Linked DNA regions of Caenorhabditis elegans. The protein of the gene in region 1 purifies or fractionates together with the protein of each later gene. This does not show direct contact. Each region holds a gene or a part of one and is shown on either strand. Other genes may lie near its edges.

Region 1 (16,581 bases):
GCCTGTCTGCCGGTATAGTGTGTGACTTACATTCTTCCGGTTTGCTCTGTTATTCTCCCCTTTACTGTGTAGGAGGAGATTGTGAAACTGAGCGGTTGCCCTCTTGTATTCATCATTTTTTATATTTTATTCGCTCAATAATATTGTTATCTCCAATTATGCGGCTACAATAGCTTTGAAGACGTTTTTTAGTGAATTATCGAAAACTGGGCATTTTAACCAAAAAGTTGACACTTTTGTAGCCGTCTAACTTATTGGAAATTGTAGAAAAAGAAAAATATATAGTCACATAACAAAATGTTTTAAACATTTTAAAAGTGAACTTCCGAAATCTGAGACTTTGCATTTTTAGACTCAAAATGACTCAACAATACCAAATTTCGTAACGAGACGTTTTGAAAATTTTTCAATAAAAAGTTATGACAGTACAAAGATCGGGAAAAAAGGCTCATTTTCAGCTAATATCAAAATTTTTGCCAACTTCTCGGTGTCGTAAAGGAACTTGATTTTTATTTAATCATCACTCTTTAATTATTATTCTGATCGCTTATCCTTGATTTAGATACATTTTGGGTCAGTGAGGCACAAAAATGTAGTTTCTGAAAATGTAATCTGTGACACTGAGAAGGTGGCAAAAATATTTGATTTTTGCTAAAAAAAGGAGTCTTTTTCAAAAACTTTGAACCGCCATAACTGTTTTGGGTCATTTTAAGTCTAAAAAGCAGCAAGTCTCAGATTTCGGTATTGCACCTCTAATGATCATTATGGTTTTTTATTGTATGTGTCATTTGATTTACTTTTGCAGATATCTGATTTTTCAAATTTAGTCAAGAATGGCTCACTTGAACAAATCATGTTTTAGAAACGAACAAACAAATGAAGCTCAGTAGATTTATTATTCAATTTGTGTCAACGTGGAGAAAAAAGTTTATAGATACAATATTTAAATACAATCATTGAGTAAGAAGAACTTTTCTAACTTCATTATCAGAATCCGTCCATTCCACAACTTCAAGTCCCACCTTCTCATTGGTTTTTGGCATTGGCGGAGCTCGCAGTCCAACAATTCCCGTAACAAATTTAGATTCAGTAGGGTGCGGCTCAGATGTAGCAAGAGGCTCCGTCCCAGACCCTTCTCCAATTTCATTCAAATTGTTAGCACTTGTGCTTTGATCTACGGTCGGTTGCGTTACATTAGAGACGTTGGAAGTAACTTCATTGCTAACTTCCTGGAATGCTAAAAGTGTAACTGGCTTTACATCCTTTGCAGGTACTGTTGTTATAGGTTCTGGTGTAAGCGTAGTGGACGTTTTTGGAGAGGCTGTGGTAGTCGTCGTACTTTCTATTGCTGGACTATCGGAAGAAACTGGAGTTATTTCCGTAGTTGTCGCTTTTTCAGTAGTGGTTGATGTTTCTGGAGCTTCAGTAGTCTCACTTGATGTCGCAAAAAATTCAGAAGATGTGATCTCGTCTTTTTCTAATACTGAAGTCTCTGATGATGTGTTTTCAGTTGCACTTGTTGTGGATGGAATCGTGGATACATTCTCGATTGACGCTTCTTCTTTTTCTTCTTCTGTCCGCCCTGGTAGCAACTCCCCATTCCCCAAAGTTCCACGTTCTTCGGCACTTGTTAGTTCTTCCGATCCAGGAATAATTGTAGCAATTGGTAAAGTTGCACTTCCAAGACGTTCCAAAAATGTTGGATGTTTTCTATCTTCACCACTCTCAATTGACCCCACTGTTTCTGGCGTCACAAAAACTGTGGATCGTTCGAGGATTACAGGAGAAATAGTCGGCTTCGGTTGCATTGTTGCCAGATACTTTGGCCGAGCATAACTTCCTCCTTCACTGTAACTTGGCGGCGCTGTTGCATATCCGTTATTGCCTCCAGTGTTCTCAGAGATCCATGACGGTCGATTGTACAATGTCTGGTATTGGTTTTGGTTTGAATTCTGCCACGTCTGCTGATGTTGGTACCCGTAAAAGTATGGAGAATAGTAGTTTTGATTGTTCTGCAACAGTGAAGTAATCAAAAACCGTGAAGTGGGTTTTCAAAAAAACCTGATATTGAGACGACCACTGTTGCTGCGGCTGTGTCTCGTAATACTGCGCATTTCCGTAGTATGGTGACCCTGCCCAGCCATACTGTCGGCGGAACCTGAAATTTTATCAAATACAATCTGACAGGACCAACGTGAAATCTTTGGTTGTTTTTTTCTAATAGCTGATAAGATAAAGATAATATTATAGTATACAGTCATTTTTAACAAAGTGGCTGAAAACTTGTTGAAATTCAGACATAGAAAATTTTAGTTTTTTTTTTTCAAATACATAATATAAATTAGAAGACTATATCATATAAAAAAGTGACAGTATTGCAAGTGGGAAATTTGCCAAAAACCACTCCTACAATATTTGAAATGTTCTTATTGGCAGTCAGAAAGTGGCAATTATTGAGTTTTTGCCACTTTGTGAGAAGACTATAAAACTCTCGCATGTTCAAATCCCTACAATGTTTGAATATTACCATTTGCACGGGTTTCTGGTTCGACCCCTCGGTGTATTTTGTGCAAACACCGTCATGTGCAAATGCTTACACTTTTTCAACGCGCCGCGTGAAAATTCCTCTTGCGAATTCAATAAAAATTTCCCGCCATTTCGGTGTGCAATGGAGAGCGGGGTCGAGCCAGAACCTCGTGATTTGAAACAAAACTAAAAAAAACACCACTTCAAAAAATGTGACAAAAGCTGAGATTTTTCCAATTTTCAAAAAATCATATTAAGGTTTTTCAATAATTTCCCCACTGGCGCTACTTCATTTTTAAGATCAGAAAACTCACCGATTTGGAATATATTTAGATTCAGTAGAAATTGGAAAAATCGTAAAACATACAGTGAGAATTGCAACAAAGTTGGACATTTTTGTGAACTATTATGTACCTACAGGAGAGTCTAAACAAAATGGTGTCCAATTGAAAGACGGCAATTTCGGAGGGAGAAAATACGAAAAATACAACGCTCGTGTCAAGGTTATGTTACAGATTAAGTGTCGCCAAGTCATCCGCTTACCATCTCGGATTTATATCATTCATCCCCTTGTCCTTCATTCCGGTATGACTCATTCTCGCTCCACAAGACACATACACACACATTTGGTGAACTGACCAACTCGAAGAAGGATGAAAGTGACCACCCGTCGCCCACGCATTGATTGGATGAAAACATCGGCAGTGATATGATATGACAAAAAGATGATGTAGTGTTCGACGACTACGACTGATAACGCCTTTCTAACAATTTGATATAAAAATGTGATCGAGTTACCTAAAATTCAAATCTCACTTTCATTTGTTTCTAAAAAAATGACTTCTCTCCTAAAATCTCTTAGTATTCTTGCCCTCGTCGCATTTGCCAATGCCGGAATTCTGAACAGGTATATTTCCACTTTTCACAATTAAAGACTTTATCATCTTAAGGGTGAAACGTGGATCATATGGTGCTCCAAGCAACTATTCCCCACCAGAAAGTCAATATGGGCACAATGGAGGTGGTGGCTACGGAAGGCCAAGTGGTTATGGACAACCTGGAGGTGGGTATGGTAGACCTCAACAATATGGGCAAGGTGGATACCAGCAAGGAGGAAACTATCCAAACAGCGGGTTCCAACAGGGAGGATTTCAAGGCCAGTCTGGCGGATTCCAAGGGCAAAATGGAGGATTCCAAGGTCAAGGTCAATTCCAGGGAGACCAATCCGGGTTCGGACAACAAGGAGGATCACAGACCGGGTTCCAAGCATCACCTCCAGTTCCAGCTATGCCGCAACCTGGAGCAGGTAGTTCAAATGTCGGACCAGACTACTCACCTGTAGGGCAAACTGCGCCAGTTGCTTCTCCAGGAGCCGGTGGATTGTTTGGTGGTGGATCAGCTAGTACTGGCTTCGATGATCCAGCTTTTGCAGCTGATGCTAAGCCTGAAAAATCAACGACCGATACTATCACAGAGACGTCGGTTACTGGATCAAGAAAATGAAGATTTAAGTGTTTCTCACTGTGATATATGGACTTTGTACATACTTTTTAGAAATAAAATATATTTCTGTGTATTAAAGATTCTTGTCTTGATTTTGTAACAAATACAAATATCATTTAGATTAATTAATAGTCTATACTTATAGTGCCAAAAAGATCAAATATTATAGTGAAATTAATCAAAATGTTGTTCACAATATTGCTGATTTCTTTTTCAGATCCCCTAAAATTTTCAACAGAAGTTTGACTGGAGATATAGCGGTGGACATCTCACGGGTCTACTTTTAGATGATTTTTTTTTAAACCTCTGTAGCTTTGGAACAAAAAAAACTTTTCATAGGAACAGTTCTAATGATAAAATACTTTGAATAAACATATTTTTAAAATAACTACATATTTTAAAACACTTCATTTATTTGCATCATGGCATATTTTCAACTACTAAGAAATAGGGGCTAAGACTTCAATCAACTTGTGCAAAGAATGGCGAGAAAAAAAATTGTGAGAACCTATGGAAGCTTAGTAAAAAGAGACAATTTAGACGAGCAAAGATTTAATATAGACCATGAGAACATTTACAATACCGAGTAAGTGTAACACACAAAAAAAAGTATTATGACAGACAGAAAAAAGTAGTCGCTATGGAGACATCAAAACTTTTCAGAACATGTGTGAGTCGGCGCTTTCTTCTTCAACAGATTCCAAAATTGCAGAACTTTCAACGGTCGAACGATGACGAGCGAGAACACGGAGAAGTGGACGCAGAGCCATCCACCTGAAATTTTTAAATTGAAATTTATCGCAGAATGTGTCCAGGAGCGTTCATTGTCATTAGAGCGCGCTTACTAACAACTAACAAATTCTCGAATACGCGGGAATCAGCTTCCACAGGAAATCAGTTTTTGAAAACATATTTTTTGGGTTCTACGGAAATTATTGTCAAATTTTTAATTTACATTATTGCTGACTATGAGGAACATTAAGCGAATGGCAAACATGTAAAATTGGGCTCTTACGGCCGAGAACGAAAGTTTTTTTTTTAAACAGTCATCACAGAAATTATAAACAATTCATATCCGGCGGTGATTAACTTCATGATTTTTGAAATTACACAGTTATAAAGATCTACGTGATTTTTTCAAATTTTAAATGTTGAGAACTAATCAAATCAATAAGTAATCAAGGGATTTCATGAATATGCATCTTCTCTACAAAATGATCAACCAAATACCGGCCTAAAATCGAAAAACTGACTGTTATGATACAGTTTCCAAAATTTCCTAAATTTACACACTTTCGATTTGTATATCGAAAATGTTTAACAAATCATAACAATAATATAAATCGGAAAAAAAATCTTCTAAAGGAGCCAAAAACTAGCCAAAGAAACTGATTTTTGATAGAAACAAATTACCGCGCGAGTTTGTAAGATGTCAGAAAGTGCGCTCTAACGCTAGAGGAAATCGTGCTCCACGAGTATTGCATATAGCCCTTAAACTTATGGTTTAGATATTTAACAAGAATACAGACATGCTGTATTCCATTATGTTATTTTTAGTCTAGAGATTGAATAGTTTTTTCTACAAACTACTTGTCCACTAACCATTGCTCTGATGGAAGACGATGCTCAAAATCGGTCTCCTTCTTGAGATCTTGCACCGGCGTGAACACCACCTTTCGTCCTTTGAGTCCAAGAAGCGTCGCAGTATGGGCTGACTTGGCGATCACCTTGTTATCGGCCGTCAAATTTTCCTTGAGCTGAATGAGCAAAAACTCCAAAGCACGAGCGGCCAGCTTGGTTCCCATATTTCTGTCGAACGGCGTTGGAGATCCACCCTGTTGAACATGTCCGAGAACATTGACTCTTGTGGTGAAGTTCTTCTTTCCTTCAGAATCAAAAAGATTCTGCACAAAATCTGTGGTGAGGTTCTTGTCGGCCCACTCATTTCTGACAACCAAGTAGCGTTTCGCTCCAACTTCCATCTTTGAGAGAATCACATCAACATCATCGGAGAGGTCTTGAACGGTGAATGGCTCTTCAAAAATGTACGCATTATCCGCACCGGAGCTCAACGCAGAAAGAGTGGCAAGGTAACCACAGTATCCTCCCATTGTTTCGACAATGAAAACTCTTCTCTTGGTACCAGTGGCAGATTGCTTGATTTTGTCGATCATCTGGCAAATCTCATTGATCGCGGTATCGGATCCGAGAGACACCATAGTTCCTAAAATTAGAAATGTATTGTTTAAAAACCTTATATAATGAAAAACAAACCTGGAACATTGTTCGAGATGGTGCATGGGATGACACACATTGGAATGCAAAACTCGGGATACTTTTCGCGATTTTCAGCAAGAATTATTGTGCTGTGATACGCTTCAAATCCTCCAACAAGCAATAACGCTTGAATATTGTGCTTCTTCAGTTGAGCAGCAAGTTGAGGCATAGTTTTCTCAGTTGGAAGACTTTTCTGTGTGCCAAGGAACGATCCTCCGTTCATTGCCCAGTTAGTAACATCGGACCACTTGAACTGTTTGAATGACCCATTGGCAAGTCCCTCAAAACTGTCTTCAATACCGTACACGGTACACTGATGGTAGAGAGCCATTCGAACATAAGAGCGGACGGCTGCATTCATTCCACCGGCTGGAGCGCCAACGTTGATTACAGCAACATTGAATTTGTGTCCTTCCGAAAGATTGTCCTTTTCGACGGTTCTCATCTTAGTCAGCAACTTGTACGTTTCAAGATTTCTCTGGAAACTGCGTCCACGAAGCATCACAGCCGTGGTCCAGTCCTTATCCGCCATTGCCTTCTGTACCATTTGAGTTCGTTCGACACACTTGAGAAGTGGCACACGGACCATAACATTTCCGTCAATTGAGATAACACAAGGTTCTGATTCCTGAAATAAAAAAAAATTATACTTCTTTTCTTTCAAGCAGGAATAACGGTTTGAACGGTGAAAGTGTAGACCCAAAATGTGCTCAAATAAACGAAAAAATTTGTAAATTTCGTTATGAAGCTTTGCAAAAAATGTTCAAACTTTTTTCTTTGACTGTACAAAATGTTAGAAAAAATAGTCTAAAATCTCTAATTCTGAGCTTTTTTCGGTGTCGAAGCTGCCTGAAATTGATTTTTTGAGCGCATTATTATCTTTTATTGCATTTACTAATTTTTGACATTTTTTGGTCACCTACCGGTTTTAAATATACCTTGACTAGGGCTTCCATGTGGCGCCGGTAAGGCGTCAGCGCCGGCTTCACGCCGCAAATCGCGCCACAGGTATAGTACGGCGCGGAACCCCCAAAGTGTCGACCGCTGCCATCTTTGCGAACTACGTTGCGCACACGTCAAATTTCTCTTTTCACGCCAAGCTGCGAAACAGCGGCAGACGGTGAAGGAGGTCCGGCGGGAGGCCCGTGGAGGCGCCAACGCCGCGCCTCTCTCACAAGGAAGCCCTAACCTTAACTATCAAAATAATATGAGATGAAGGAACAAAATTTACGACAAAGTTCGATAATCCAAAAAAGCCAACTTCGGGCCGCTGCGGCACTGAAAAAAACTACAATTAAGATTTTTGTTAATTTGAAAACATATTGGTTCATACGTTCAAACCATTAATGAAAAATTCACAGAAAATCCCAGAAACCTCAGTCATCTCCATGAGAGCAAAAACTGCTTCTGCTCCCATTCTACATCCAAGAAGTCGATCAAAAGCAGATGGAGCACCTCCGCGTTGAACATGTCCAAGAATTGTAACGCGTGTATCGTATTTCAGCTTCTCCTTGACAGCAGTCTTCACATCCTCGGCGGTGATAGCCTTTCCATCACGATCAATAGCTCCCTCGGCGACAATAATGATGTTAAGACGTTGACCCTCTGATCTCATTTGAGAAAGTTTGTCGCACAAGACGTCACGCCAATTTTCCGGTGCCGGCCATTCAGGAATGAAGCAGAAGTCGGCTTCGGAAGCTAGAGCAGCAACTAGAGCCAGATATCCACAATGGCGACCCATGACCTAGAGTAAAATAAGTATATGAATTATTTTCTTGATAAATTGAGATCACCTCAATAACAAAAGCCCTTTGATGACTTTGTGCAGTTGCGACTACAGCATCAATAGAACTGATAATTCTTTGAAGTGCCGAGTCGGTTCCAATCGTCATGTCGGTTCCACAAAAATCGTTGTCGATGGATCCGACAAGTCCGACAATTTGAATGTAAGGAATCTTTTTCGCAGCCGCCGCAGTGACTCGTTGATTTTTCACAAGTTCTTGCACAAGATCGGTCCACTCCAAACGGAAAGTGTTGGCTCCAGTGAGAGATCCATCTCCACCAATGCATACAAGACGACCAATTCCACGATTAATCAGGTTGGTGGCTGCCTGGAAATTTAATTTTAACTTTCAAAACTTTCAAAAATTTGTTTTATTGGGCTAATTATTTTCTCACCTTGAGACGCCCTTCACGAGTTCTGAATTCGGAAGATCTTGCGGAACCAATGATAGTTCCTCCTTGCTGAATAATATCGGAAACGGTGTTCCACGTGGCTTCCTTGATGAAATCTCCACCTTCAATCATTCCTTCGTATCCTTCGTAGATCAAATACACTTTACATCCACAGTATATAGCCATTCTTGTGATACTTCGAACAGCGCTGTTCATACCTGGAAAATAAAGTTTCAAACGTATTCTTACAAGGAAAAGTTTGAATTTTATTAAAAGTGAAATGAATTTTATATGGAGACTCCACACAAAATTTTCATGGCAGGTCAAAATTTCAAATTTTGCCCTAATTCATTCGTACCTTGAGAGTCTCCTCCGGACGTGTAAATCGCGAGAGTACGTCCCTTGAAAATATCCGACGCAATCTCAGTTCCTTCTCTTCCAGCAGTTGGGACGATTGAGTCGAAGCGGCGCAAAGCTCGCTGACGGATAAAGTCGAGCTCTTCTGGCGTGATTGTTGATGCGTCCGCGTCCATTTCGAATTATGCAAAATTCTGTAATTTATGACAATAGTATTTAACACGAAGGATGAGAAAAATGGGATGAGAAGAATGAAAAAATTTTGAGAAGAAAAGGATAAATCTGAGAACTGCAAGAGAAAAATGTTGACAAGCAAAAACTGATTAATCGATGCGGACAATGAATGCGCGTAATACAGTGTGGCAGGGACCATTGTGGTTAGAAAGTGCGCGACGCAGATACAACAAGGAAAACACAGAAACAAACAACTGCGCGCGGTCATATTACCCTGTGGAAGGTCAACTTTTAATTATTATTTTTATAGGAGGAGCATTGAGTGGTTCTGGACATTTTAAATTCAATGAATTTTGTAATGAAACTTCCAAATTTTTTTCAAAATTTTTTATGTCGGTTTGAAATTTTAAAAATTTAAAAATTCAAAAAAAAACCTATTTCAGCTAAAATCTCTAATTTTGTCCATTTTTTCGTGTTGCATCGGTCCGAAGAAATTAACTTTTTTTCAAATTATTATATTTAATGGCATAGCTTGACTTCATTTCGTTAATTAGGATACATCGTATTTTTTCTAATGTAGTATACATTGCACTCCATTACTCAACTTTGACAGCTTAAATCTCAGTTGGCGTTTGTTTTATTGAAAACTGATCAACTGAAAAAACACTTATTTTTATTTTTTTCTATATATTTGCAGTTGACAGTTTATTGATATTTTTTAAACGAACATAGATATATCCTTTTGGAGTAAAGTAATTGGATGATATACTATTAGAGGAAATACGTAATTTACAGCTGATAGGTAACCTAAAATAAAAAAAAATAGGTCACCTATCGGCTTTAACTGTACTATAATCAAAAAAAAAACAAGAGATGAACGACCAAATATGCAACAGAGGATTGAAAAATCAAAAAAAAAGTATTGCCAAAATTGAAGATTTTAACTAAAATTAGGCCATGTTTTTTCGAAATTTTGAACCGCCATAAAAGTTTATTGAATTAGTTTAATCCATTTGAGTAGATATTAAGTTTAAACGTTCAAAATAATACCGAAACTTCAACAAACAAACGTTTTATTTAGTTCCTTTGGTATAAGAAAACAATGAATGATGCCAAGTGAGAAGTGATAGTGATTGAAATGGAGAGAGAAAAGATGCAGAGTAAATAATGAGTGTGACGAACGCATGGGAAAAAAGAAAAGTAGAAAAAAGCCAAAAATAAAAGGTTTCGACTTTGAAATATGCTATGGCAAGTACACATGATGCAATACACGAAAGAAGCCCCTAGAGGGGGGATGCACTTTTGATCTTGACGCAGGGGACCCAGACAACTGAATGTATTTATACAACAGAAACAAAACATGAAAACCAAAATTGTGAATTACATTTTCCTATCAAATCGACTGGATTGAATGAATGATTGGTGTGTTTTCTTCTTCTTCACTTTTTCAGCCTTCAGCAAGGGAAAAAAACTAAGCAGCCAGAAGCAAAGTGCGAGAGAATATGCGTAACACGGAGAAAGAGATCGAGAGAAGACAACGCAAAAAAAACGAAAGCGCGGCCCTTCTGCCTTGCCCCTCGTTTCTCCAACTGCTCAATGTTTTCGACGTGCCAAAACGCATTTTGGATTGAGAAGGAAGAAAACGTAAGGGCCGGGGAGAGAGCACAAAGATTTGATTTCTTATCCGTCATGTCATTTGTGTCTAGTTATCAAAAATAAATCAATTTAAAACATGAATAGAGCTAGTGGAAAAATTTAAAAAAAAAACACGCCTACGGTACCACAATGGACAAATATCATAAAAGAAAGTTTCAAAAAAATTTTCTAATTTTTTTTCCAATTTTCAAAAAATCAAAAAATCAATTGAAACTTTAAAAAATTACCATAACATTTGGTCACTGTAGCGTGTGTTAAAGAAATTTCCTCACTGACTCTACTCCTTAAAATTTGAAAAAAGAGACTACGCAGGGAACTAATACAATGTTGATTGTTAATGCGAGTAAACAGTAAGTTGAAAAAGTAAACACTGCCCTCAGGTTTTTGGGATTCATAACCAACAGTGCGAAACGGCCAAGTGGCAAGTTGTTGTTCAAAACTTTTCAATTGATATTGGAAAACACTCACAAAAACATTTACAAACTTTGTTTTTGGATGTTTGTTCAGAATTCCCGGCCCAAAAATATAGCCTTAAAAACGCTAATGCTAACTTAATATGGACAAAAATGGTCACATAAAATTTGCAAAAAGATTAATTTTTTTTTTGGCCAGGTACACAAGTACTGTTCTTGATACATAGACAAAATATCGCAAAATAAGCTCACATAAAAAATAATTATGATAACGTTTTTTTGTCTACATGGCAAGTTGTGAGAAATTCGAAAGAGAATAGTTAAGTGATTTTTGGTACATTTAATAATGTAAAAATTTGCCTGTTTTCTCTTACTATTAATAGAACTTTTTTGAACTGTACAAAATGTTTCAAAAAGTTAAAATTCTTCAACAGTTTTTTAAAATATGTATCAATAAAGTTGTTTTAATTTAGGTTGTTGCAAAGATTCTCCGAAAGATATGTCATACATATACATATAGTAGAGGGCAAGGGTGTGCGGCAAATTTGCCGAATTTGCCGTTTGCCGAGAAAAAATTTGCCGAATTTGCCGTTTGCCGCGCTCGCCATGTTTGCCGAAAAAAAATTTGCCGAATTTGCCGAACTCGGCAAACTTCGAAATTTGCAGCACACATCAAAAGTTGGGCAATACTATTTTGACCAAAATTATTGATTATTTGCCCAAAAATTTTGTAAAATGACACAATGTGTGTTAAGAATTCAGTAGTATTGGTTCTCCAAAAACATCAAATTTTTCGGAGTTTGTTAAGCACGGCAAATTTGCCGAATTCGTCGAACTTAGTACATTTTCCTTTTCATAATTTCATCAAAAGATATGAATTCTAAAAATAACACGCATTTTAAAATATCACGCACTCACATCGAGCAAAAGTACTCTCATCTTTTCCTACTAACCATTGACGAGAAAACGAGAAGAGCCACCGATGTTGTTTTTTTTTTCTATTTGCGAATGTTTACTAGTCTCCACTGTGATTGTGGTTAGCCATGAAACAAAACTGATAGGAAAAATAAATATTTAAAGTGGAACTGACCATTATTTATTGTCAAACATAAAATGAATAACGAGAAAAAAACTGGTCTTTCGCTCATAACAAGTAGAAAACAAACTTGGAGGTGATTGAAGATGGAAGATTTGGTGAAAAAAATTGCAGTATTAAAAAAAAAGATATAAAGCGTTGTCGGAAATAGGCATGTGTAAATTTTAAAAGAGGAGTAACGGTTATGGGTTTTTTTTTTGAAACGTATATACCCAAAATGTGCTCCTTGAACAAATTCCGCAATGAGTTCAAAAATGTTTTAAATATTTTTTATCGTGCTTCAAAATTTCCATAAAAAATGTTTGGCTTCTATTCCGTGTCACATTTTTCGTTAATTCAAAAGTTTAATTTCAGGCCAAAATTAGAGATTTTCGCTAAATTTGAGTCAAAATTTTGAACCGCCATAAAAAATTTTTGGAAAAAATACGAGAAGTGTCATATATTTTATTTATTCGTTCAAAACACCCAGAACCGTTACTCCTCCTTTAAGCGGAGAATAACAATGAAAAAAAGTTATTGTTGATGAGAGAGTGCGTATCACAATCAACAGACACACTATCGACCTTGATATTTTGAAACAATATAACGATTGTATGTCTGATTTTTGATTCTGATCCTATCAATTTTTAAAGATAAAAAAATCACACAAAAAAAAAGAAAAATAAATTTGAATGACGTCATTGAAAAGATTCTAGCTTTTTTGAAGATACCGAGAATAATCCGACGTTTGTGTGTAATCTTTCAATGATTTCAGAGGAATATGCCGTCTGAAACTGACTTCAGTGTATGTATATGTTGCCAACATAGCACCGAACCATGTCAGATATTGAGTAGTCTTCTTCCATTTTCTTCCAATTGTAGAGATAAATCCTGCGTAAACTATTGCTGCAATTACTTGGCGTCGAATGCGCATTCTGAAATAATATTATTCAGCATAACTTTTCAATATTGAATAATATCACTGACTTCAAAAGATGTGCTCTCGATCTGTTAAGATTCTCCAGATTTTCTTTCAAAAGGAACTTCTTGATACCCATTACATAATCGAATAAATACGAGTTCCAATCCACTTGGCGAACATCAAAGTTGTACTCCTTTTGATCTGCGGGTGTCATTTTCTCAAAGAATTCTGGCAGTCCACGTGCATTGAAACTCCATCCGCGAGTCGTGAAAAAGTGTAGAGTTTCAATCATTTTCCACACTTTCGAATACAGCTTCACATTGCTGATAAGAAATTTATGTAGGTCTTGTTCTCCGTCGTTTATGACTTACTTTTTTCGCTTTCCTATAAGACGAGCAGAAATATCTGAGATGGCAGCAGGTATATGATGCTTGATATAATAGTTTATAAGGAATAGTGAACGTGATTTGTGGAAATATGTGGATGGAACTGCGAAGCATTGCTCCATGGGATACTGAAAATATATTTAAAAAAAACATTAGAGTACTATTTAAAAGGGGAGTAGAGTTTGTGGGTATTTAGTTAAAATTGACTAAAACTGGCCAAAATTGACCAAATTTCAAAATGAGATTTCTCAAAAAAAATTTTTGACAAATAGTTTTATGAAGGCTCAAAATGTTGGAAAAAAAAGACTAATTTTGCTAAATTCTAAAATTTCGTTAACTTTTCTACGTGGTAGTAGCTTGAATGCCGTTTAAAAAATGTTTGCCGTCTATTTTGGGCCTTTTTTTTTTTCAAAATCGTCCAAACCGTTAGTCCTCCTTTAATGCATATTTTGGTAGTTCATCTAATGAAAGAAATCTGCGAATTTTTATATTTTAGCAAAATTTGGTTCTATTTTGATATTATTATTATTTACCCGCCATAAAAATTTTTGGAAATTTTTTTGTGAAGTCTCATTATGAAGACGTTTTGAACCAGTTTAAGTCTATTTAAGCTAAATACTTATAACCAGTACTCCTCCTTTAATGGAGATATTATTATATAAAACTCTGACTAACCTTTTTGTAGAATTGCTCCAAAAATAAAACAATATGACCCCAATAGAGAGGGTTCAATTCACCAGATGAACAGTGGATCACAGGAATTTCTGTCGTGCTGAAACAAAAAACAAAATTTTAAACAATTCACAGTTTGTTTAAAACTATTCTCACTTGATCGATGTTCTATATGAAGCTGACGCAATTATCATGTTAGCCACAATATCAACGGGAATAATATCAGCTTTTGATTCACTGCTCCCACACATGTTTGTCAAAACACCTCTTCCTACAGCAGCAAAGATTCCAGTCGGCCCATTGATATTGTCAGTCCATCCTGGAAGCGGTCCTTGCCACATTGCTCCTACAATCGAAGGACGAATGATAATGACTGGAATATCCTTTGCTTCGGTTTCGATTGTGGACTCTGCTAAAGCTTTGGTCAGAGTGTAGGTGTTTGGACGGAGGCCAAGTATTTTAGGTGTAATCTGAAAATGTTAAATATCGGGTAACTTTGGTAATATCAATAACGCAAAAAGAATTATTTTCATTTTAAATAGGATTTCTGAATTTTGTTGTTGAATTTTTACACTTTCAACATTTTTCAATTAATCTCCTTTTTTTCTATGAATATCAAAATAAAGTAGGGGTGGCAATGAGTTTTTTTTGTTCCGCATCGATATTTCTGAAAATCTGGGAATTTATGGTATCAACCACATTACCTGTGATGTGACGGTACTTTCAAATAAATATGTCGACTCCAGGTATTCTAGCTCGGAGCCGCTTTTTTAGGCTTCCACTCGATCTTGGTTTTTTGAAACTTTATTTTTAGATTTATGCGCGGCTCTCGCTCGATTTAGTGTATAATGTGATTGTATAACAATAAAAATCGAAAAAAAAATTAGTTTTAAAAAAGTTAAAAAAATTGCTTTGTCTATTTTTTAATCTATTTTTCGAATACATTTTTCGACAAATCTGTCCTCTTTCCTTGTACCGTGTATTCTCTATTCTCTATTAGAGCGGCATGCCGCACTAATTTCCCGGCCCTTCGTGACGTGCGCTCTATTAGAGACTGCCGTTCTACTGGATACTGCCGCACTAATTTTCGATAACTAATTTTCATATTGAAGTTACTACTTTTGGGAGTAGTAACCTCAAAATTTCTTTATAAAACCTCATATTTTATGGAAAAATTCATGAAAATTGGGTAATTTTGCCTCACAAAGACACTAAAATTCAATATTTAAATGAAAATTTATAAATTCATTCAAGAATGAACAAAAATATCTTCGAAGAAATCGAATAATTGATGTGGCTCTTGCACCCAAAAAAAGGGGTGCCGCACTAATAGAGACTGCCGCTCTAATTTTCGAAGAGCCAGTTAGAGTGCCGCTCTAATAGATACGCCGTACTATTAGATACGCCGCTCTAATAGAGAATATACGGTATATTAAATTAAGCAAAATCCGCACATAAATTTCAAACAAAAGTTTAAAATACACGAATCTGGGTGAAGCCTAAAAAATGTGGCTCCGAGTTAGGATACCTGGAGTCGCCAAACTTTTTTTCAGAAAAATCGATATGCCACAAAAAGTCATACATTTTGACCAAGGTCTAATTGCCACCACCTAATATCAAAACTTACTTTAGTCAATGTTTCGTCATCCATCCACGAAAGAGCGTCCACAAGTTTTTGTGGAGCCATTGGTGACTTGTAAATCTGTAAATTTCCAGAAATTTAGTTGATATTCTACAATGTTCAATTTTTCACGCTCACTTTTTCCGTTGTTTCAAACCTGTCGCAGTTTGCATATGCAGTTGACACATGCACCAATACCTTAAAAATACAATTTTTCTGAGACACGTTGTTTTCTCTGTTACTTTGAGATCTTTGATTTGATGACAGAGATCAATGATTCGTTTGGTTCCAATGACATTCATGGTGACTGCTGCTCTTAGATGCTCGTCGAACTTGACAGTCGCCGCGCTATGGATCACTACGTTGACCTGAATATTAAAAAGTTGGAAAAATTGAGAATTGTACTCCCTCACATTGTCTCGGATGAGCATCACATCTTCAGGATCCATTCCTAGATTTTCCACCATCATATCTCCACCGATTGCTTTCAATTTGTCAAATGCTTCTGGTTTCTCTTGGCGAATGCGATTGAAAAGGGGATCCTAAAAACTATTAAATAAAATTCCAAATATAATCAAAATACTTACATGAAGAAGACCTGACAATCTTTCTTGCGGATTCTTCCCTTTTCTTGTTCTTATCATCAAATAGATGTTTTGAATGTCATCAATAGTCCATAACAACTTCTCAACAATCACCTTTCCCAAAAACCCAGTACCTCCCGTGAGCAGCACGGAGCTGCCTGCATAGACGTCTCTTACAGAAAAAGCCATGCGTTTTTGTTACCTAAAACTTGGGTTTTAAATAATAAAATTTGCCTTTCA
Region 2 (15,603 bases), on another chromosome or scaffold:
TGTTAGTGATTTTTCTAGAACTTGAAAGTTGTGAGGTGGGTGAAAATCTAACAAAAATCGATTTTTTTCGAAATTTTACAAATTAAGCCAACACAAACGTTTCAAATTCTGATGAATTTTCGTGTGAAACCATATGAAAAACTGAATTCTACGCAAAATTTGACGCATTGGTTTTTTTTTTCAAAATTTTTTTTTGTTGCACAAGTGGTGCAACTGGGTAGAGGCTTGGCTATGGCGCAGAGGGTCTCGGGTTCGACCCCACGCGGTGGTCAAAATTTTTTTTCATATATTTTTTCAGTGCTCTACCGTCGTTTTTCAATCAAATCAGGGTCCTGATCGATGAGCAACTCGATATGAAATTCGTGCTCGGCTCCTTGGCTCATTTCACGGCTCTCCTCAATCGAATTATTCGTGCATTTTGTCAAATCAATCTGGAAAATTGGGACTTTTTCGTGAACTTCCTCTTGTGGAGTGCTCCAGAACAAAATGGCTCCGCGATGAAGAAGTGACCAGTATTTGTGCCAAATTGGGACTTTTTTTGCTCTGAAAATTGGAATTTTTAGGTGGTTTTTCGGCGGGAAATTCAAAAATTCAAATTTTCAGTCACTTTTCGGCGGGAAATTCAAAAATTCAAATTTTCAGTCAATGTTTGGCGGGAAATTCCAAAAATTCAAATTTTCAGTCAATTTTTGGCGGGAAATTCAAAAATTCAAATTTTCAGTCAAATTTTGGCGGGAAATTCAAAAATTCAAATTTTTAGTCAATTTTTGGCGGGAAATTCCAAAAATTCAAATTTTCAGTCAATTTTTGGCGGGAAATTCAAAAATTCAAATTTTTAGTCAATTTTTGGCGGGAAATTCCAAAAATTCAAATTTTCAGTCAATTTTTGGCGGGAAATTCAAAAATGTAAATTTTCAGTCATTTTTCGGCGGGAAATTCAAATTTCTAGTCAATTTTTGGCGGGGAATTCAAATTTTCAGTCAATTTCCAAGTACCTCTCCAAAGGACTTGCAGAATCGTGTAAAATATGAAGAAATCCTCGATATTCCATATCAATTGCATCAGGAAGTGATGTGCAGTGTGAATTGAGCTTCACAGTTCCCTCCAGCGGATAAATGACGTCATCCAAATAGAAGCGGCGGTTATCGCCCGACGAATCGCGGTCCAACGTTAAATTTCCGCAAAGTTGGAAGTCACACGCAGGTGACGTGGCATTTTGTATCGATTTTTGTGGCGTGGAGGTAGTCGGGCGGCGGTGAGCGGCTGGAATTTGAAATTTTTGAAAAAAAATTTTTTTTTTTTTTTTGGAATTTCATCCTTATTTCCTAAAACAAATAAAATTTCCAAATTACCATTGCTCGGCACCAGCAAATTCCGCACTTTTTGTGCCAAAAACGCGGCGCACGTCTTCTCAGGTGGTCGGTGCTCGGGAACTCGCTGAAAATTCCAGATTTTTGAGGTATTTGTATCTATTCGTGTGGTAAGACACCTAAAAATTCAGAATCAGTAAAAAATTTGAGGCCGGGGGGCCTTTTTTTTTGAAAAAAATTTTTTTTTGTGTACCAGTGGCTCAGTGGGGTAGAGGTTAGACTCTGGCCCAGAGGTCCGGGGTTCGATCCCCGCTGCGGTCAAAAATTTTTTTTGCTACTCTCCAGTGGTGGGTTAATTAGTTTTAAATCATTTTACGATGTTTTTCTTGGTAAAAACCGATTGAAACTGACTTTATTGGCTAAAATTTTCAAAAACTGATTTTTTACGATGTTTTTTGAGCGGTTTTAATCAAAAATTAGAACTCTACGCAGATTTTCAGCTTTGGTACTTCTTTTCGAAAAAAAAAAAATTTTTTGTACAAGTGGCTCAACTGGGTAGAGGTATGGCTACGGCCCAGAAGTCCGGGGTTCGACCCCCACTACAGTCAAAAATTTTTATTTTCTGTTGTCAAGCATTACCATCATATAAATCTCCATTCCAATGGTAAAATCGACGGGAAGATTGGAAAAACGCAAGTGTTCACCGAAAAGAATGAAATTTTGCGGAGTTTGGAATTGAGCCAAAAGGGTAACGACACCGGTTGCCTCGACTTCTGTACGGCATTTGAGGAGCACAAGGAAAGCGTAAGAGCCGCCTGAAAACACAGAAATTTTGAATTTCCCGCCAAAAATTGACTGGAAATTTGAATTTTGGAATTTCCCGCCAAAAATTGACTGAAAATTTGAATTTTTGAATTTCCCGCCAAAAATTGACTGGAAATTTGAATTTTGGAATTTCCCGCCAAAAATTGACTGAAAATTTGAATTTTTGAATTTCCCACCAAAAATTGACTGGAAATTTGAATTTCCCGCTGAAAACCGATCAATGTTCGGTAGAGCATACTTGCAGCAAGTGCGCTCCACCGAAAATCAATTTTTTTTTTCGGCGGGAATTCAATGTTTTGGAGTTTTGTGTCAAAAAACCACAAATTTTTTCAAATTTTTAACTAAAAACGCAGAATGCGCGCTAATTTAATTCTGAATTTCGAAGTGCGCTCTACCGAACATGTGATCAATTTTTGGCGGGAAATTCAAAAATTCAAATTTTCAGTCAATTTTTGGCGGGAAATTCAAAAATTCAAATTTTCAGTCAATTTTTGGCGGGAAATTCAAAAATTCAAATTTTCAGTCAAATTTTGGCGGGAAATTCAAATTTTTAGTCAATTTTGGCCCAAAAATCTCGAATTTAGACTCAAAAACCACGTACGACTATGGAAATGCTTATTAAACTGAAGCGAAATATTCGAAATGACCATAGTCGATTTAAAATGTCGATTAATCGGTGGTGGTGGATGCCTGACAACAGTCATTGCCTGAAGCCTCCGAACTTCTTCCAATTGAACTTTCAACCGTTCTCTACAAATTAGCAAAACCCGTTGCGACGCGAGTTCTTGCATTGGACATTTCGATTTTTGGGCTTCAAGTAGTGAGTGCTCGGCGAGCAAAATGTGATGTCGAGTTTCATCGATTGAATTGAGTAGGCGGTTCATTTGACGGCGCGAATCCGTCGCGTGATGATCTACTGCCGACCAGTTACTGATTGAGCTCACGAAGGAATCCTGCGCAAAAAATTGATGTAAAAAAATCGATTTTTTACGAAATTTTACAAAATTTTAGTTCAAAAAATTGATTTTTAAAGAAATTTTTTTGAAAAAACGTTTTTTGAATCGAAATTTTTCAAAATTATCGATTTTTAAATGAAATTTTTCTCGAAAAAAACGATTTTTTTTTAGAAATTTCTTCGTTAAAAAACAAAAAACAATTCACTGATTTTTTCGAAAAATTCCATTTTTTTACGGAATTCTACAATAAAAAATCGATTTTTTTAAACGAAATATAATAAAACTTTTTTTTTTCGAAGAAAATTTTCAAAGAAAAATCGATTTTTTTACAATTTGGAGAGAAAACCCTTTTTTTTTGAAATTTTGAATTGGTTTTTTTCGAAAAAATGGATTTTTTACGAAATTTTCGAAAAAAAAAATCGATTTTTCAATAGATTTTTTTCCAAATTTTTGAGAAAAATTCGATTTTTCACAAAAACCACTAAAAATCTTTTTTCCAAACGGGGATTTTCTCAATTTTTTCACTGAAAAACCCGCCAAAAATCTCAGATATAATCCACCTGAAAAGCCGGTGGTGGTTCCGAGTGTTTCGGCGGCCGACACATTGCGGGTTTCGGTGTCGAAGTGGCAAGTGCAATCGGTGCCTGAAGCTTCTTCACAACAATTTTGAGTGGACCCCCCGCGGAGCCCGACGAGCATCGATATTCAACGATGGGCTCTCCAGCGGCATACGGTGTGAAAAGCGTGGGCGAACTCGTGAATTTCGGCGTTTTTGGGCACTCAGGGAGCTGGAGAAGATTTTCCTGATTTTCTGGAACTCCAGAATCTTGAAATGTTCGGTTTAGGGTGCTCTCCTCGTCGTACTGCTGGGATTCCAGATTTTCAGAATTTTCAGCATTTTCCAGCACCTCATCCAGCACCAGAAGCTCTTGGAAACTGCAAAAAATATCGATTTTTTACCGATTTTTGACGAAAATATGCTCGTCGCCATTTTGTGGGCTCCAGAATATCGATTTTTAGGGAACATTTGACTGAAAATTACAAAATTTGAGCGAAAATAGCTCATAACCGTTTTGTGGGCGTGGCCTGTTAGGCTCCGCCTTTTTTTTTTTGAAATTTTGAAGTGTCAATTTGTGTTTTTTCCTGCAAATTTTTTTTTTTTTTTTAGTATTTAGATAACAAGCTCCACCCATTTGGTGGGCGTGGCCTGTTAGGCTCCGCCCTCTTTTTTTTTGAAATTTTGAAATTTCAATTTGTTTTTTTTGCTGTAATTTTTGTTTTTTTTTAGTATTTAGAAAATAAGCTCCGTCCATTTGGTGGGCGTGGCCTGTTAGGCTCCGCCCTCTTTTCAGGCAAGAATATCGAATATTAGAAAATTTTTGACTGAAAATCCGAATTGATTTTTTTTAATTGATTTTTTCGCAATTTTTGCCGAAAAATCGCTAATAACCATTTTGTGGGCGTGGCCTGCGCGGCTCCGCCCCTTCTTAGGCGAGAAAGTCGAATTTTCGGTAGTTTTTTACTTAAAATTCGATATTTTAACAAAAAAAAGTTGGGCAATTCAAAAAATTGTCTCAAAAACCTCAAAAATTTCTGCAAATTTTCGATTTTTATAGGAAAAAATTAAAAATTTGAATTTCGCGGCTTTTTTTTGGACATTTTAGATTTTTTTTTAAAGGAAAAATGTCAAAAATGGCTACAAAATTTGAATTTTTTTCGAATTTATAGCATTTTTGCCGCAAATTTTCGTACTTTGCCACGTCATCATCGGAATTTTCGAAATTTTCAGATTTTTTGGAAATTCCAACGTCATCAGCCACGTAGAGCTCCTCTTTATCCATTTTTTGGGCCAAATTTCGCAATTTCAACGGTGTGGCTCCATATGGATAGGCTCCGCCCACATTTGGAGCATTTTGAGCATTATTCGAATTAAAAACGACAGCCTGGGTGCCACGACGACCATGAAAATGACGTTTTTCGTACGGTGAGATGTATTTTTCCGATTTTTTGGCGAGAATTTCCGGAATTTTGGAGGATTTTGAAGTTGGCGGTGGAGCAATGTGTTCTGGAAGAAAAATGGGTTATTTTTGGCGGGAAATTTCGAATTTTGAAGATCATTTTTGAGAAAAATGTGAAAAGTTGGAAAAACTTGAATTTTTTTTTCGAAAAAAAATTTTTTTTGCAAAAAAATTATCGTTTTTTGGAATTTTTTTAAAATTCGCTCAAAATTCGTAAAATTCCCAATAAAAAGTGAATATTTCGAAAAAAAATTTTTTTTTAATTTTTGAAAAAAAAAAAAATTTTTTGAAATTTTTTTTAATTCTTAAAAAATTTAATTTTTTTCACAATATTCCTTAAAATTAGCTTAAAATCACAAAATTCTAAATTTTAGCGATTTTTCCACCGAAAATTACAGAATTTTAACACAAAATCCGACAATTTTGGTGGTTTTGCTGGAAATTTAGAATTTTCCAGAGGTTTTTCCGTTTTTTCAGGATTTTTTAGAGAAAATTTTCGAAATTCACCAGAAACTCAATGGTAAATTGCCAATTAAAATGAAAATTTTGAAAAAAAAAATTTTTTTGAATTTTTGGAAAAAAAAATTTCTAAAAATTAGTTTTTTGCAAATTATAACTATTTTCTCTGAAAAAGTCCAATTTTGCAAATTTCCACTCAAAATTCAATTTAAACCATAATTTTCATCCGAAAACTTGCGAAAAATCCCATTTTTTCTGGATTTTTCCCAAAACTTTTGGGATTTTCCGATTGTTTTTTCTAAAAAATCAATTTTCCATGTAAAAACTGTATAGTTGGTGTGTTGACAGTGCAAATAAATTAACAATACATGTGAATTTATAAATTTGCATTTGAATAGGAGAAATACCGGGGGAAATGGTTTTTTTTTCTCATTTTCCTCAATTTTTCTCAATTTTCCCCATTTTTTTCCAGTTTTTTCGCATTCCCCTATCGATTTTCTCAATTATCGATTGATTTCCGCACCATTTTCAAGACTTTCAACCCTTTGCGTGGGCGGAGGTGGGGGCTTCTGCTCCAGCATGCCGGAGCACTGATCGAACGCGGCGACGAGATCACGAATTCGGCCGCGTGGCACCGGTTTGCGCCACGTAGCATCTGACGGTGGTGTATCGACGATCGGGTGCGGCATCCAGCGGTAGAACTGGAAAAAATTCGGATTTTTTGTGAATTGTATCGATTTTTCCGGATTTTTGCCCTACCTGACTTGATCCGATTGGCACCGGAGTTGGCGGCATCGATTTTCCGTCGAAATTCTCCATTTTTCGTCAAAAATCTCCGAAAAAACGGCGAAAAACCGTCTAGAAATCGCAAAAATCGATTTTAAAAATTCAAAATTCCATCGAATCCCTCACATCACTGAATTCGTGGCGAGACCTATTTGAAGTTTTGAGCTATGCGCCTTTAAGAAAAACCGTAGTTTTTTCGCGAATTATCGCATTTATGCGGAATTACGGCGAAAAAGCGAGAATAATCGAAGAAAATGCGATAAGAATTGATAAAAAATGATAAGATTGTGTGCATTATTCAGGTGACAGATTGATTTTTGCCCAAATGTTGCGTTTTTTGCGACGAGAAATAATTCATATATTTATTTAGTTATTTTAAGTTTAATTTTTTCACTTTAATAACATTACGCTCTTCAGAAAAAAGACAACATGACTGTGGACAAGGTTAAGCTGGTCATTGGTGAGTTAAACGGAGAATAAAAACAAATTTAAACCAATTTTTGAGTAAAAAATTCTATAAAATTCGTTAAAACTCGAGTTTTTTCTTTTCTTTTTTAAAATTTCTACTTTTCTACGTTCAAATACACCGAAAACGTATTAATTCCGAAGATTTTCGTTAAAACACTGGAAAATTCGAGCTTCCCGCCAGAAAACTGAGTTTGTCATTGGAGCGTGATTGCATTGCTTGGCGATTTAAAAAAACGAGTCTAGACGCTTCAATAATCGATTTTTTCGGATTTTCAGATGATAAACGAGAATTCTAATTTAAAAAAAAACAAGAAGTCTTCAAATTTTCCACTTATTTTCGTCAAAAAACACTTGAAAATTTGAAATTAGCGTCGGAAAACGGACTAGTTCACTGGAGCGCGCTTGCTTAGCGAGTTTTATCGATTTTTAAAGTTTTACATAAAGTTTACCAAATTTTAAGCTTTAAAAACAAAAATTAATCGATTTTCAGACTCTGACGGTGTAAGCGACGACGTGCGAGCCATCTCCCTAGCCTTGCAGCACCCAAAAGCCGAAATTCTCGCATTCACCGCAGTCCACGGCTGTGTGACAGTAGATCAAGCCTGTGCGAACATCAAAAGAACCATCCGAGCCAACGATCGGAGCAATATCCCAGTGTACAAGGGTGCGGCTAAATCGATTTTGTCGCTGCCGAAGGATGATACCGTATCCGATTTTTTCGGGATCGATGGGATCGGTGATAAGCCGGAGGAGTTCCCGAAAGTCGAAAGATCCGATTTTGAGGGGGAGGGGAAGCATGCGTCACTTGCTTTAATCGATATTTTGAGAGAGAATCGGGATGCCACTTTGGTGTAAGTTGAGGCTACAGTAACCCTTCTGTACCCCCACCGCATCCCTACAGTACCCCTACAGTACCCCCACAGCGACCTACAGTACCCTTGCACTATCCCTACAGTACCCCACAGTACCCCTGCACTATCCCTACAGTACCCCACAGTACCCCTGCACTATCCCTGGTACCCCGGACAGTTCCCCTCTAGTATTCACGCAGTAGTGTTACTGTATCCCCACAGTTCCCCACTGTGCCCTTGCAGTAACACTACAGTATCCCTACAGCAACTCTACAGTAACCCTATAGTACCCCGACAGTACCCCAACAGATCCCCTACATAACCCTACAGTACCTCTGGTAACCGAACAGGTACTCACACAATAGTGTTACAGTACCCCTACTGTTCCCCCCACAGTACACACACAGTAACCCTACAGTAACCCTACACTAATTCCACTAAAGCCCTATGGTACCATAACTGTATACCTACAGTATTTCTACAGTACCCCTACAGTATCCCTGGTACCTGGACAGTTTCCCTACCCTACCCCAATAGACCCCCTACAGAAACCCTACAGTACCGCTTCAGTACCCCTACAGTACTCCTACAGTACCCCTACATTACCCCTATAGTACCTCAACATTACCCTTTTAAAGTCCTACGGTACTCCTACAGTATCCATACAGTCCTCCTACATTTTCGCCTACGCCGAGCTATTCTGGGTGTCAAATTTCGATTTTAATCTATTTTTGCTCAATTTTCCCTAAATTTTCAACAAAACCATTTTTCAGAACCATCGGTCCCCTCACAAACGTGGCGATTGCTCTCCAACTCTGCGAGGAGTTTTCGACGTACCCATCCCGGCTGGTAATCATGGGAGGAAATTATTACGCGGTCGGAAATGTTGATGGAGGTAGGTTCTTCAAAAAAAAAACTAGGGTGGACCACTTTGGCGGGCCATATCTCGTTTCATTTTTGAGATATTAGAAAAGTTTCAACTATAAACCTGTTCAGAAACATGTAACAAACATTTCATCAGTTAACAATTTGTTGACAAACCCAAAACCGACGGAGATACAGACCCGTCAAACCCCAAAAAGCCCCCCTAATTTTTCCAGGTTCCTCAGCCGAGTACAACTTCCACGGAGACCCGGAAGCCGCGAGCATTGTGCTCCGACGTATGAAGTGTCCCATCACCATTGTTCCATGGGAGGCATTCTATTTTGAATCAAAGACCCATGATGCTTCAGTTGATTTTTCGGCTCATTTGAAGTATGGAACCCCATTGGCTAATTACTTATCGCTGGCCACCAGCATTGGTAAGGTTTTTTAAAGTTATAACTCGAAAACTAGGGTAGATACTAGATACCAAAAAAAAACTGTCAATTGGAAAGTTGTTCAGCGTAAAATTCTGCATTGATTTGACCCCCATGTCGATAATTTTCAAATTTTCGAATTTGACACTTAAAATTGCTCGCGGAGCTCCTAGCCTTTCCCAATGCTTCAAACGTATTGAAATTTCGTTTTTCGGATAACCCGCAAAATCCTACACCCAGAAAACTCAACTTCCAGCCTTAGCCAGCAGTTTTGTAAAGGGGTCGAAGTGGCTCAACTGGGTACATGTACGGCTTTGGTGAAATAGGTCCGGGCTTCTCGAGGCCCCGCTAGTGTGTCAATAATTTTTTTAGAGTTCGAAGGTCTGTAGATTAGTCAACAAGTACATTTTTTTTTTAGAGTTCCTAAATTCGATTTGTATGTTCCAGGCCGCGTAAAATGCGAGGCCAACGGCCGCCAATACTCCTACTGCGACGAGATCGCTGTGGCTACTGCAATCGATGAGGATAAAATTGCAAAAAAGTCTCAGTACCTGTATGTCGATGTAGAGCTGAATGGAACAAAGACACGTGGGCAGGTTGTGGTTGATTGGACCGAGCAACTGTGGTCGAATGAGGAAGCTCCGAATCAGGTGAAAACAAAAAATCTGGGGTTCTGTATAGTTTTTGAGGCATAACTCGGAAACTAGAAGAGTTATCAAAAAGTTGCCAACTGAAATGTTGTTCAGCGTGAAATTCTGCATCGATTTGACCCCCATATAAAAAATTTTCAAATTTTCAAGGTCGATACCCAAAATTGCTCACGGAGCTTTTAGCTGCTCATGGTGTTCCAAACTTATTTAAAACATGATTTTTGGGTTCCCCGTAGTATTCTACATCAGGTACGGTTGAATTCCAGCCTTAGCCAGCAATTTTGAAAATGGGGCGAAGTGGCTCAGGTGGGTAGATTGATGAGGCTATTGTGAAATAGGTCAGGGGTTCGAATCCCTTTGGGTTTATTAGTATTTTTAATGTTATATACAATAGATATACAACACTCAGACAGTCCAAAATCTAGATATTATCAATTTTTTGTTTAATAAACCAATTTTCAGCACACCCATCGCCGTGTCAAATTCGTCACCTCTTACGACGTTCATACTGTGGACAAGTGGCTTCATGCAGCCACTTCTGGAAGTGGAAAATTCGATTAACTCTTTAAAACTGTAAAATGTCACATTTATTGCTCTTATTTATGGTGTGTGTGTGTGTGTGTTGAAATTTGCAATAAAAAGTTATTTTTTAATGAAAATTATGACTTTTTCGAAGCATAACTCGAAAACTAGAGTAGATATCAAAAAAGTGTCAACTGAAATGTTGTTCAGCGTAAAATTCTGCACCGAATTGACCCCCATTTAGAATATTTTGTAATTTTCGAATTTGACACCTAAAACTGCTCGCGGAGCTCCTACCTGCTCCCGGTGAACCAAACTGGCTGAAAATCTGATATTCAAAATAACCGTGAAATTCTACACCAGGGACACCTAAATTCCAGCTTTAGCCAGCATTTTTGAAAAATGGTGAAAGTGGCTCAACTGGGTAGATGGACGGCTATGGTGAAAAAAGCCAGGGGTTCGAGTCCCCGCTAGTGTCAATAATTTTTCCAGGGTAATGCAACATGCAGGCAGATGTTTTAATGGAGAACATCAGAAATTTCAGCTGAATTTCGCAAATTTCAGGTTTTTCAAATAGTTTTCCGACTAAATCGCAAATAACTGAAAAACTAGAAGAGTTATCAAAAAGTTGCCAACTGAAATGTTGTTCAGCGTAAAATTCTGCATCGATTTGACCCCCATATCAAAAATTTTGAAATTTTCGAATTTCACTTCTAAAATTGCTCACGGAGCTCCTAGCTGCTCCCGGTGCTCCAAACCAGCCGGAAATGTAGTTTCCTAGTTTCTAGTAAAATTCTACATATATAAAAAACTCAAATTCCAGCCTTAGTCAGCATTTCTGAAAAAGGATGGAAGTGGCTCAACTGGGTACATGGACGGCTATGGTGAAATAGGTCCTAGGTTCGAGTCCCCGCTAGTGTCAATAATTTTTACAGAGTTAGTTGGCCCTCAAAATAGTCGAAAATCTAGCAATATACTATGTTTTTCGCGAAAAAATCAATTTATTGTTCTTCTACTTAACAGAAAACGGCTAAAAATCACACAATTTCAACAAAAAATGGGTAATAGGTAATAAAATATGAGTTGAAAGAGAAAAAAAGGGAGAGCACCGGTTTCATTTTGTGTGAGAAGTGAAACTTTTCGTGAAATTTCCAAAAAATTGAGCATTTTTCGGGAATTTTCGGGGGTAAAAATTGGGGGATAAATATGAATTAAAGCTTTGAAAATATTAATTTTTGGGTGTCAATTTGTGTCAATTTCACTCGTGTTTGTCCTGTTCCGCAGCGTCGGCGACCATTTTTGCGAAGGCGCTGTTCTTGTCGGCCATTAGGGCGTCCGGTGTGTCGAATTCCAGAATTGAACCCTTATCGAGCACCATTATTCTGGAAATTTGGGATTTTTCGGGGTTTTATGAAAGGTAAAATGTGGGGGTTTGCGTTGGAATATTCATCGGGAATACCAACAAAAAAAAATTTTTTTTTCAAAAAATTCCAGTTTTTTGGGTAAAAAATCCCAATATCAGCGGAATTTTTTGAAGATTTTAAAATATTTTCCAAAAAAAATTTCGATTTTAATTCATTTTCTGAAAATTTTATTGACTTTCAGACAAAAATTTCCATTTTTAGCCACTTTATTAAATCAATAAATCGTAAAAATTCGATTTCAATAGAAAAAATCGATAAATCAAAGAAATTAAATTCAATTTATCAGAATTTCAGACATTTTCAGACAAAATTTTGGTAGAAAATTGCGATTTTTACGGACTTCTTCAGGCAGTTTGGGGTAAAATCGAAAAAAATCAGTATTTTTTTTTCAATTTTTGATTTTTTTTAAAGAAGTAAAATTATCGATTTTTTGGGAAATCGATAAATCGCAAAAAAATTTTTAGATTTATCGATTTTTCATAAAAATTGAAAAAATTATTTGTTTCAATTTCGATGCTAATTTTTAAAAAGTCAATAAATTTAACAATCTTCGATTTTTAAAAAATCGATAAAATTCGATTTTGCTAGAAAAATCGATAAATCAAAATTAAAGTCAATTTCTTTGAATTTCAAGCATCTTAAGGCGAATTTTTATGTCGAAAATTACGATTTCCACGGTTTTCAGTCAGTTTTTGGTTAATTTTTCGAGTTTTTGGAAAAAATCTATAAATCTAATTTTTTTCCATTTTTTCATAAAAAATCGAAAATCGGAAAAAAAAAAATTTTTTTTCGATTTTTTTTTCGAAAAATCGATAAATCTAATTTTTTCAATTTTTAATATTGAAAAACGATTTTTTTTTTCGATTCTAATAAAAATCGAAAAATTCCCGATTTTTATAAAAATCGATAAATCGATAAAAATTAGATTTATCGACTTTTCAAAAAATTGAAAAAAATTGTTTTTTTTTTTCAGTTTTCGAAAAAATTAAAATATAAGATTTTTATAAAATTCGAAAAATCACAAAAAAAATTAGATTTATGGATTTTCAAATAAATTGAATTATTTTAGGATTTTAAAAATCGATAATTGTAAAGGTTATCGATTTTCAAAAAAAATCGATAAATGGAACAATTTTCGATATTTGAAAAATCGATAAATTAATTTTTTAAAAACTCGATTTTAATAGGAAAAAAAATCGATTTATGGTAAAGTTATCGATTCGATTTATGGTAAAGTTATCGATTTTTGACAAAAATCGATTTCAAGCATTTTCAGACCAAATTTCGGTCGAAAATTACTATTTTACGGTCAATTTTCCAGATTTTTCAGTCAAAAATTCTCAAATTTTCAGTCTTATTCAGTAGTACCTATCATAATCCATGATAGTATTCAATCGATGCGCAATCGTGAATACTGTACACTCTTTGAACTCCTCTCGGATAGTCTCCTGAATCAGAGCATCCGTAGCCACATCGACAGCCGCCGTCGCTTCATCCAACACTAAAACCCGAGTATGCCGGAGTAGAGCCCGAGCCAGCGCGACCAATTGCCGCTGTCCAACACTCAGATTCTCGCCGGCTTCACTGATTTTATAGAGAAGACCGTCTGGAAGACCGGCAGCGAAATGTTTCAAATGAGCAAGTTCCAGAGCTCTCCAGATTTGATCATCGGAATAAGTGAAGAATGGATCTAAATTGAAACGAAGAGTTCCTGAGAATAATACAGGATCCTGTGGAATAATTGTAATGTTAGAACGAAGATCGTGAAGCCCGATTTGAGAAACTTCAACGTCATCGATCACAATTCGACCGCCGGCAGCTTCAATCATTCGGAAAAGGGCCAATGCGAACGAGGATTTACCTGGAAAATTGGGATTTTAGGGGGCATTCAGTGAGAAAATTTGAATTTTTCGCCAAAAATTGACTGAAAATTTGAATTTCCCGCCGAAAATTGATTTTTAAAAAACAGGAAGAAAGTGGGGGGCGGAGTCTATTCTACAGTACCCCAAAAAAAAATCAAATTTCAGATGTATTTAGGCTCCGCCGCCCACTTTTTATCGGAAAACAATTCAAATAATTTGGGATATTATACGTTTGCCTAAATAATACCATTTTCAAGAGTACTGTAGACTTGGCTCCGCCCACTTTAAACCCAATATTTTCAAATTTTTTGATTAAAAAAATAAATTATTACAATATCGGAAAAAAACTTTAAAAAAACAATTTTAATATTACACATTCGTCAAAAAGTGGTTCAAAAATTTTACGAATGTATAATAAGAAAAAAATTGTTTTTTTTTTCGGATGGGTACTGTAGAATAGGCTCCGCCCACTTTACCCTTATTTTTTGTGTCAATTTTTGGGGGGAAATTCAAATTTTCTGTCAATTTTTGGGGGGAAATTCAAATTTTCTGTCAATTTTTGGCGAGAAATTCAAATTTTCAGTCAATTTTCGGCGGGAAATTCAAATTTTCAGTCAATTTTTGGCGGGAAATTCAAATTTTCAGTCAATTTTTGGCGGGAAATTCAAATTTTCAGTCAATTTTTGGCGGGAAATTCAAATTTTCAGTCAATTTTCGGCGGGAAATTCAAATTTTCAGTCAATTTTTGGCGGGAAATTCAAATTTTCAGTCAATTTTCGGCGGGAAATTCAAATTTTCAGTCACTTTTTGGGGGGAAATTTAAAATTTCAATACATTTTTGCATCACAAATCACAATTACAACATCTGCAACCTACCCACCATCATGCCACCGGATTCCTGTTATTAATTTTGGATTTAAGGGGGTTTTGGTTCGAAAAGCCAATTTTCGTGGAAATTGACTTAAAATTTTGACAATTTTTTTGATTTTTTGATTTAGGCCAATTTTCGACCAATTTTTAATTGAATTTTGGGTCAAAAAATCCGAATTTTTTGGTATTTTCAGTCAAAAATTTCCAGATTTTCTCCCTACCTACCCGCTCCAGTTCTTCCAACAATTCCAATCTTTTCTCCAGCAGCCACATCAGCTGAAATATCATGAAGTACGAGATCCAAGCCTTCACGATATCTTGTCGAATATCCATCAAATTTCACAACTCCACGGCTCGGCCATCCTGGAGCAGGCTCACGGCCTTCAATTCTCCATGGAGCCTCATTTGGAGTGTTAGTGTACTCATTTACACGTTCAACTGACACAATATTCGCTTCGATTTCCGAAACTTGACGAACCGCGAAATTCAACACTTCTGTGATCTACAAAAAAATTTTTTTTTTGAATTTTAGGTGAAAAAATGTGAAAAATACAGTTTTCGGGGCTAAAAATCGAGTTTTTTCACATAAAATTTGAAATTTAAACCAATTTTTTCCAGATTTTCATCGGTACATACATTAAGTGCATACGATACGGAGACACCAATAACACCGGGACTCGTAATCCATCCGAATTCCTTTGATAAAACTGCGAAGAGGGCGGCGAAGAAGATCTGTTAAGACCGAATATTATTATTATTATTGTTGACTACTTTTTTTTGCGGGAAATTTGAATTTTTGAGAAAATTTAATGTTTTTTGTAAAGAAAGCTAATTTTAGGAGGAAATTTGACATTTTCTTTAAAATTTTCACAAAAATTTGAATTTTTGCCGAAAAATTCAAATTTTTTCAGAAATTTTTTTAATTTTTAATTTAAAAAAAAGAATTTTTTTGAGAAAAATTTTGGCGCGATATTCAAAATTTCTACAGAAGTATTGCCGGGAAATTTCATTTTTGGAAAAAAAAAACTAATTTGCGGAAAATTAAAATTTTTTAAATTTTCTGAGAAAAGTTTTGGCGCTTTTGGATGAAAATGTCAAATTTGGTGGGAAAATTTTCAGCTGGAATTTCAATTTTTTTTTTTAGGAAAACAAAATTGTGTCCTAAAAATTCTGGCGGCAATTAACAAAAAAAAACATTTGAAGAGCATTTTCGAGAAAAATTGGCGAAAAATTTGAAAATTCTGAAAAGATGTCAAATTTTTCGAGAAAACCAATTTTTATGCCAACTCACTGCAACTTTTTTC

The links.
Region 2: the proteins of pfk-1.1 (region 1) and Y43F8C.13 fractionate together in Caenorhabditis elegans (co-fractionation; one large-scale study listed by BioGRID). This does not show direct contact.

What each region holds. Positions count from the first base shown.
Region 1 is NC_003284.9:2,933,323-2,949,903, reverse strand, and holds pfk-1.1 (ATP-dependent 6-phosphofructokinase 1), read right to left. Parts: upstream 9,033-16,581; 5' UTR 9,015-9,032; coding exon 8,840-9,014; intron 8,700-8,839; coding exon 8,485-8,699; intron 8,418-8,484; coding exon 8,100-8,417; intron 8,051-8,099; coding exon 7,682-8,050; intron 6,935-7,681; coding exon 6,304-6,934; intron 6,254-6,303; coding exon 5,632-6,253; exon of another isoform or gene 4,804-5,631; coding exon 4,689-4,803; 3' UTR 4,426-4,688; downstream 1-4,425. Other genes in the region: Y41G9A.5 (Prion-like-(Q/N-rich)-domain-bearing protein), read right to left, coding at 954-2,012, 2,062-2,158, 2,841-2,920; Y41G9A.10 (Prion-like-(Q/N-rich)-domain-bearing protein), read left to right, coding at 3,363-3,433, 3,477-4,029; fard-1 (Fatty acyl-CoA reductase), read right to left, coding at 12,869-13,091, 13,144-13,401, 13,450-13,592, 14,140-14,236, 14,293-14,606, 15,764-15,838, 15,896-15,955, 16,000-16,125 and 2 more. UniProt on the Caenorhabditis elegans protein: Catalyzes the phosphorylation of D-fructose 6-phosphate to fructose 1,6-bisphosphate by ATP, the first committing step of glycolysis.
Region 2 is NC_003283.11:19,688,567-19,704,169, reverse strand, and holds Y43F8C.13 (Nucleoside hydrolase), read left to right. Parts: upstream 1-6,771; 5' UTR 6,772-6,783; coding exon 6,784-6,814; intron 6,815-7,312; coding exon 7,313-7,673; intron 7,674-8,446; coding exon 8,447-8,568; intron 8,569-8,773; coding exon 8,774-8,974; intron 8,975-9,418; coding exon 9,419-9,621; intron 9,622-10,083; coding exon 10,084-10,182; 3' UTR 10,183-10,270; downstream 10,271-15,603. Other genes in the region: ani-3 (Anillin-like protein 3), read right to left, coding at 307-543, 996-1,263, 1,353-1,437, 1,950-2,125, 2,737-3,088, 3,652-4,027, 4,844-5,156, 6,092-6,269 and 1 more; Multidrug resistance protein mrp-7, read right to left, coding at 11,402-11,525, 12,936-13,428, 14,525-14,801, 14,936-15,031.